Linked DNA regions of Canis lupus familiaris. The protein of the gene in region 1 purifies or fractionates together with the protein of each later gene. This does not show direct contact. Links are inferred from orthologs where the notes say so. Each region holds a gene or a part of one and is shown in the gene's direction. Other genes may lie near its edges. The genes, in order: ZFC3H1 and MPHOSPH6.

Region 1 (4,604 bases):
TCTCAAGGGCTCCGGTTAGACAGAAGGAAAGACTGGATTGCTCCTGCAGCCATGGAGGAGCCACACCTAAGGTCAGCACCGTAGTGAGGAGGAAAGCCGGGCTCCGCACTGACAGCTCAGTTCTGCGCTCACCCACCTGCGCGGGGCTGGTAGGCACCTAAATGCTTCCCACGCCAACCTGGCTAGTGATCGCTTCCCGTTTTTTTTGTTTTTGTTTGTTTTTAATTTTATTTATTCCTGAGAGACACAGAGAGAGGGGCAGAGACCCAGGCCGAGGAGCAGCAGGCTCCCTGCAGGGAGCCCGATGGGGACTCGACCGCGCGACCCGGGGTCACGCAGGTGCTGCCCCGGGGGTGGAGGGGGCGCCCCTGGCTTCCCGATCTGGACGGCAGCAGGAGGTTTCGCTTGCTTGGAAGGCACCATTCCCGTGCAGACCCAGGCCCATGCATCGCGGAGCACGAAATCACGGGATGCTCCTTTTACTTTTCCCCCAGGGAGTAAGCACCGGGCGGGACTCGGATTTCCCTTTCAAAGTGAGTTAATCTTTCCCGGAGGGCGGGGAGAAAAAGGACCAAAAAAAAAAAAAAGGAAGAAGAAGAAAAAAAGAAAAAGGGGAAGGGTGGGGGGGACAGAGGCGGGGAAGGGCAGCGCAAAGGACAGAAGTGCTGCTTCCTGGGCACGAGCCCGGCGGTGGGGTCGGCAGCTGGGCCCCGGCTGCGCCCGCAGCGGCGACCCTGCACCTGAGGGCCCGCGTCCCTAACCCGCGCCGCGCTTACCTGTGGAAGCTGATGTTAATGTGCTTGTCGTAGGTAGTGGCGCAGCCCGCCGCGGCGCAGTTGGTCGGCATGTCCCCGTCGCCGTCATCCGGTCCTGCGGCGCTGGCGGAGGTGCGGGTGCGGGTGCGGGTGCGGGTGCGGGTGCAGGTGCAGCTGCAGGTGCGGGCGGGGGGGGTCAGCCTCCCCGGGGTCTCTAGTAGCACGGCGGCCTGGAGCCCGCGCAGCAGACGGCCCCGGAGCCGCGCTCGCCTTCGTTAGCCTCCCCCTTAAGGGGCCCCCCTAAAACGGAGCGGGATCACTGCGCCCCCTCGGTCGAGGCGCTCGCGGCCATTACAACGCTCCCCGCATCACTCAGGAGCCTCCCGGGCCGTCCACGTCAGCGGCGAGCCCGGGCGGGGCGCGAGCGCTGCGCGGGAAGCACAAACCCGAAAACCCGAAAACCCGAACCCCCCTCTCCCTGCCCCGGAGGCTCGCCCCGCAAGGCGGGACTACACATCCCGGCGACCACCGCGGCGTCCCGCGAGACGACGCGGGAGCTGCGCGGCCGGCTTCCTGCGCGCCGCCGGAAGTGACGTCGCGGGCCGAGCCCCGGGCAGAGCCCCCTTTCTCGCGAGGCGGAAGAGCCGGGGGGCGCTGGGCGAGGGGACGCGGGCCGCGGCGGCCCGGCGAGAGGCGCCGGGGTGCGGGGCAGGCGGGGAGCGGAGCGCGTCGGCGGAGCGAGCAGCCGCCGCGGGAGGCCGGCGTTCGAGGCGGGGAGCCGAGGCGGCGGAGGGCGCTGTCGGGCGGGGCGGCGGCGCGGATGGCGGCCGCCGAGGTTCCGGCGCCGGCGCCCAGCGGCCTGTCGCCCAAGGAGGAGGGCGAGCTGGAGGACGGGGAGATCAGCGACGACGACAACCACAGCGACGCGCGGAGCCGGAGCAGCAGCAGCAGCGGCGGCGGGGGCGGCGGGGGCGGCGGCGGGGCCGGGGGGCTGCTGCCCTACGCGCGGCGGAGGCCTCCCCCTGCGGCCCGCGGCGGCGCGTCCGGCGGCGGCTCGTCGTCGTCGTCGTCCCAGCAGCAGCTGCGGAGCCTCTGCCGCCCGCGCCACGCGGCGGAGCGGGGCCACCTCCGGGGACACGCCGGCTACCGGCCCAAGGAGCCGTTCCGCTCGCACCCGCCGCCCGCCCGCCTGCCGCCCGGGCCGCTGTCGGAGGGCAGCCCGCGGCCGTCCTTCTGGGAGCGCAGCCACATCGCGCTGGACCGGCTCCGCTTCCGGGGCAGGCCGTACCGCGGCGGCAGCCGCTGGAGCCGGGGCCGCGGCGGCGGCGAGCGGGGAGGCAAGCCCGGCGGCCGGCCCGCCGCGGCCGGAGCGGCGGGCTCGGGGTTCGGCGGCGGCCAGAGCTGGCGGGAGCCCTCGCCGCCTCGGAAGAGCTGTATCCTTCACCTGCCCGTCCGCGCCCCGGTGGCCCTGCGTCCCTCCCTCCTTGGGTCCCTCCCTGGGTCCCTCCCTGCGTCCGTCCCTCCGTCCGTTCCTCCGTCCGTCCCTGAGTGCGCCCCTGGGCCCCTCCCTGCATCCGTCCCTGGGTCCATTCCCCCGTCTGTCCCTCCGTCCCTCCCTGGGTCCCTCCTTGCGTCCGTCCGTCCGTCCCTGGGCCCCTCCCCGGGTCCATCCCTCCGTCCGTCTCTGCATTTGTCCTTGGGTCCATCCCTCTGTCTGTTCCTCCGTCCATCCCTGGGTCCGTCCCTCCGTCCCTCACTGGGTCCGTCCCTGCGTCCTGCCCTGGGTCCTTACCCGGGTCCTCCCTGCGTCCGTCCCTGCGTGCGTCCCTGGGTGCGTCCCTGGGACCCTTCCTGGCTCCGTCCCTGCATTTGTCCCTGGGTCCATCCCTCTGTCCGTCCCTCTGTCCATCCCTGCGCTTCCCAGCAAGCAGGTGGCTCCTCGGTGGGTCGCCGCGCGGCGCAGTGGATTGTGTCTCTGGATTTGCTTTTATTTTATTTTATTTTATTTTATTTTATTTTATTTTATTTTATTTTATTTTATTTTATTTTATTTTAATTAATTAATTAAGCAAGCTAACGTATCACGCTTCGGGGGCCAAACCGGCGAAAGTGATCCCCGGGAAGTCTGAAACGAGATTTCCTCCTAGTCGGTCCGCAGCCCTGGTGCCCTGAGCTCAGGTTGATGCGCCCTCCCTCGCTGCGGCGGGAACTTTTGTCTGCGTGCCAGGTTGACTTACGAGTGCTACAGGGAGGAGGAGGGAATTAAAATAAATAAATAAATAAATAAATAAAAAGGGATGCACAGTTTAGGGCCTGATCCGGTTGCTTGCACCGTATCGAACCTTGACGTGGAAAATTGTGAGGTTCCATCCTGCACGGTTCCGCCCTTTAAGGTTCTTCTCGGCCTGTTCTTACACACGCGGCCTTTTTTTTTTTTTTTTTTTTAAGTGGGGGCGGGGGGGGGGGGTTGCGTGCAAGTCCAAGTCACAGGTGGTGCATTCAAGCGACTCTCTGTTAAAACGACGACTCCTCTTCCTATGTTTCGTTGTGGGGCATTCTGTGCTTTTGTGCCCGCCCCGGCAGCACATACACGAAAGTTTTGGGACCTTCTATGACCCAGCGCTGACCCATGTAGGTTAGAGAGAGAAAGACAGTGTTCTGATTTTAGCGTATTGAACGCCATGCGGTGTGCGTGTGAGACGGTGGAGATTATGGGGAGGTGGAAAATAGCAAAATACCTGATTTGTTGTTCCCTCAGATCCCATTATCTTTAAGATTCTTGAGCTTACTGAAGGTTTATATTGGGGCGTCAGCCACCTGAAGGTTTGCTAGCTTATGATGGGTTTGTAGAACTAGGTCTTCGTGATGACTGCATAAAGATGATTTGCCACCTGCAGTGATCACCGGTTGTAGTTGCTACGGTACAATGATTTTTTTTTTTTTTAACGCATTCTATATGAAACTTACACGTGATGACGTTTGTTTGGAAGACCCTCAAGGGTGTTTTTGTAGAATTCTCAAGATCAAATGGTCTTTCCCAGATGTCAGCATGTAAAGGGGCAAGAAATAAGAATCTAGGTACACAGCAGCTTCTGGGGCTAAGGCCCTGAAAACACTTGATTCTGCAACCACAAGTTAGGCGAGGAGCACCTAGGATTGTTTCAAAGAAAATCATAGAAGGATTTGACTTTTAAAAAAGATAGAAGATGTTCTTTCAAAAAAAAGGAAAGAAAAACTGTGCCCAAGATAACTTTTTTTTTTTTAAAGATTTTATATATTTATTCATGAGAGACACAAGGAGAAAGGCAGAGACAGGCAGAGAAGCAGGCCCCATGCAGGGAGCCCACCATAGGACTCCATCCCGGGTCCCCAGGATCATGCCCTGGGCCGAAGGCGGCGCTAAACCACTGAGCCACCCAGGCTGCCCCCAAGATAACTTTTTAAGGAAGTTTTTGTTAGTTGTTGATTCTGAATCTAAAAACAGGCTGTTAAAGCACATACATGTGTGTTTTTTTTTATTTTTTATTTTTTATTTTTATTTATTCATGAGAGACATAGAGAGAGAGGCAGAGACACAGGCAGAGGGAGAAGCAGGCTCCATGTAGGGAGCCCGATGCGGGACTTGATCCCAGGTCTCCAGGATCACACCCCAGGCCGCAGGTGGCACCAAACTGCTGCGCCACCTGGGCTGCCCTACATGTGTGTTTTTTAAGAATGCAAAAGAGGAAACTTAGAATTTGTGTTGGAGAGACCGATGTGAATAAATAGAGTTTTAATGTAAAAAGTTCTTATTGAGATGTGTAAAAAGTACTGTGGGGGCACAGAGCTTTTTCTTCATTTAAACTGTGT
Region 2 (3,373 bases), on another chromosome or scaffold:
GGATGTACTTTGAACACATTTTAGCCTTTTTTTTTTTTAAGATTTATTTGAAAGAGTGCGGGGAAGCAGAGGGAGAGAGAAAGAATCTCAGGCAGGCTCCCCACTGAGCTGGGAGCTAAACACAGGGCTCAATCCCATGACCCTGAGATCATGACCTGAGCCAAAATCAAGAGTCAGATACTTAACTGACTGAGCTACCCAGGCGCCCTGAGAACACATTTTTAATATTGTATGTCTCTTTAGTGACACCTACTATGGAGTTTATTTAGTCAGTAAATATTTATTCTGTACCTGAGGTTCATCAGATCCTCTTGAGGCACTGGAAACGCACAGGAAACTGAATTCTGTGCCCTCACAGAGCTTATATTCCCAGAATTTTCTCTTTAGTCCTTTAAATGTTGGAAAAGCTAATTGAAACTAGTTTCTCTTCTGCTATCCCTTCCTCATCCTGCCTTTGCTAAAAAGAAGGTATTGTACAATAAAAATAAATTTTTTGAAAGATTTTATTTATTTATTTATTTATTTATTTATTTATTTATTTATTCATCCATTCATTCATTCATTAGAGACAGAGAGAGAGAGATGGAGACCAGGCAGAGGGAGAAACAGGCTCCCACAGGGAACCTGATGCAGGACTCAATCCCAGGAACTGCAGGATCATGCCCTGAGCCGAAGGCAGATGCTCAACTGCTGAGCCACCTAGGCATCCCCAAAATAATTTTTTAGTCGGGGTAATGATCAAGAAATGTTAATGTGAGAAAAAGAAATGGAGGTGAGACTATATGGCACATGGACATCATGTAGAATGCTTTATCCACCCTTGTATTCTGGGGTGAAGCCAGTCCTCCCCATGATGTTAGAGCCAGCCTCCCAGTCCTTCCATCCAGTAATTTACCACCACCACCAAAAACTGCATTTAGTATCACTTTTGAGTGTAATATTCTTATATTTAGCTCAAAGATGGGAAGTTGGAGGAAGTCTGAAAGTTTGCTTTTTCTTTGCCCCACTCACTAGAGTATGTTAGCAGTGTGCCTGCTTTAGATGTAAGTAACTAATAAGATTTACAATCTAAAATAAAATTTAAAGGAGTGCCTGGGTGGCTCAGTCAGTTGGGCATCTGCCTTTGGCTCAGGTCATGATCTCAGGGTCCTGGGATTGAGTCCCACATTGGGCTCCCTCCTTGGCAGGGAGTCTCCTCCCTCTGCCTCTGGCCCTCCCTGCCACTTGTGTTCTCTCTCTCACTCATTTTTTCTCTCTCAAATAAAATCTTTTAAAAAATAAATAAAATACAATTTAAATTCATTAATAGGAAGTCTAATCTAATGGTGCTTTGTCATTTTTTCCATTCACGGCTGATTTTTGTTGTCACATTGTGGAGCAAAGTATTACAGAGCATCCCTTCAGAGATTTGGACTACTTACATAGATTGTGACTTCTTCTTTCTCTACCTTCAAATACATTTGGTATCAGTTTCTTTAATAAGCCTGTTCCAACCCTGAAAGCACTGCTGTATTTTTCAGAAATTAATGCTTCAGATGAATGCTAAAAACAAAGTGGAAGAAGTTGAAAGTGAAGCAGTGGAGCTTGATGTGTCAGATGAAGAAATGGCCAGAAGGTAATAGTCACTTCAGAGCCTAGTTCTAACCTGGGCCCAGCATTCACTGGCTCTCACGTGGGTGCTCCACTTCCCAACTGTTCTGTCAGGTGCCCCAGCAGGAAGAGGACTTCCTGCTTTCTCTAAAGTGGGCTGGGGCAGGTTCATACCTGTCACAGGCCAGCAGTTGAGGGCTCTTGTCCAGTGCTGCTTCTAAGACATATTTTAAAATATATCTCTCAAGTTCATACAGGATAGTACCAAAACAAAAGTGAAGATTTTAATTCTGCATAGAAAAGTTCATAAATTTTAAATCAGACAGCTTTTTTTAATCATTTCGATTTTTCTTGTTGTATACTTGGTTTAATATTCTTGACAAGACTTGACTCCTACTTGTTTGTTTAATTAAATTTGTGCCGCATATCATCTTAACAGATATGAGACCTTGGTGGGGACAATTGGAAAAAAGTTTGCCAAGAAGAGAGACCGTGCTAATTATGAAGAAGATGAAAATGGACACATAAAACCAACAGTTAAAGTAAAGAAGATGTTTTTAAAGCCCCAGGATTAAAGTAGATGCTTTAAGACAGAGCTCAGGGAAGCCTCGTAAGAGTTAACATATTGTGGAACTCATTCTGATGGCCTCTGTGTAGCTATTAATACTATGATGTTTATTTGTAAAGAAATGGATAATTTTGGAAATGTGCCATTTTTGAAACAGATGTGTGGTGGATGTTATACATCCTTTGCTTAATGGTGTTCATCAGGAATGGATTTTTAGCCCTCGATCTTCAAATATACAGAGGTATGTGGTTGCTTCCTAAAGACTTTTTTGACCTCAGATTTTTTTTTTAATAGGGCTTTCCAGTCACTGACCTTGAATTGACACACATAAATTAAATCACTGTTAAGTTATCCTTATGTTTATATTTTACTTTAAGTTATTAATCATGCCAAGCCAATTTATACATACATTTTGGAATCAAATGTCATGAGGACCTATTATATGTGTAAATTCATGAAGAATAAATATGCCTCTCTAGCCAGAAGTACTTGCATGCTACCAAGTCATTGTTAGTTTGTGGAATTACGAGTTTTTGCTTAAAGCTTTTATTAATAAAAATTGTTCTGTAATAAATAAGTTTCATATACTTTTTTTCTCTTATGCTTTCAAATAATAGTTTTATTCTAATTCAGTATTGGAACTTTTATCCAAATGCTAACTTTAAGAAACCAATCATTAATTGAGAATATGGTAATGTGCTAGGATGAACCATAAGAGATTGGCTTTTATGGGTTAAAAACAATTATTAGTTTCTTATTTTAATCATTATGAAAGTCATTAACTCATAACTGTGCCCTGTTCTGTTTGGTCAAAGAAATCATTTGCACACAGAAGTCACCACTTTCCAAACTAGCAGCTCACTTGTATAACCTAGAGTTGTATTTTCCTTTCCATATTTTGCTGCTTTTCCATGGGTCCCTGTGTTTTTACTGGCCCCAGGAAAGAAAATGCACTGGGTTTTAGGATACTCCTTGTAAAGTAGTAGTCCCCAGATTGGCTGGTACAAAGCTGCACTGTTTTCCCTGAGATGTATTTAATCTGAATGGTGTCTCCTGCTAATATCTCTTCCATCAGCATTGTATGTATGGGAGAAATCTCTGCCAGCCAATGAGTAGCAGGAGTGACCTTGTATTGTTCCAAAATTTCAGCAGGATCAAACAAGACCATTCAGGTAATAAAGAGGATAATCCAACAAATATTGGCAGACTATGATT

Evidence for each region.
Region 2: the proteins of ZFC3H1 (region 1) and MPHOSPH6 purify together in Homo sapiens (affinity purification with mass spectrometry; 3 studies listed by BioGRID and IntAct, with this or other methods). This does not show direct contact. The link is inferred for Canis lupus familiaris from reciprocal best matches to the Homo sapiens genes ZFC3H1 and MPHOSPH6.

What each region holds. Positions count from the first base shown.
Region 1 is NC_049231.1:13,582,591-13,587,194, reverse strand, and holds the start of ZFC3H1 (zinc finger C3H1 domain-containing protein), read left to right. Parts: upstream 1-1,575; coding exon 1,576-2,188; intron 2,189-4,604. Other genes in the region: THAP2 (THAP domain-containing protein 2), read right to left, coding at 777-847. UniProt on the Homo sapiens protein: Subunit of the trimeric poly(A) tail exosome targeting (PAXT) complex, a complex that directs a subset of long and polyadenylated poly(A) RNAs for exosomal degradation. The RNA exosome is fundamental for the degradation of RNA in eukaryotic nuclei.
Region 2 is NC_049226.1:70,408,035-70,411,407, forward strand, and holds the end of MPHOSPH6 (M-phase phosphoprotein 6), read left to right. Parts: intron 1-1,520; coding exon 1,521-1,615; intron 1,616-2,029; coding exon 2,030-2,165; 3' UTR 2,166-2,732; downstream 2,733-3,373. UniProt on the Homo sapiens protein: RNA-binding protein that associates with the RNA exosome complex. Involved in the 3'-processing of the 7S pre-RNA to the mature 5.8S rRNA and play a role in recruiting the RNA exosome complex to pre-rRNA; this function may include C1D.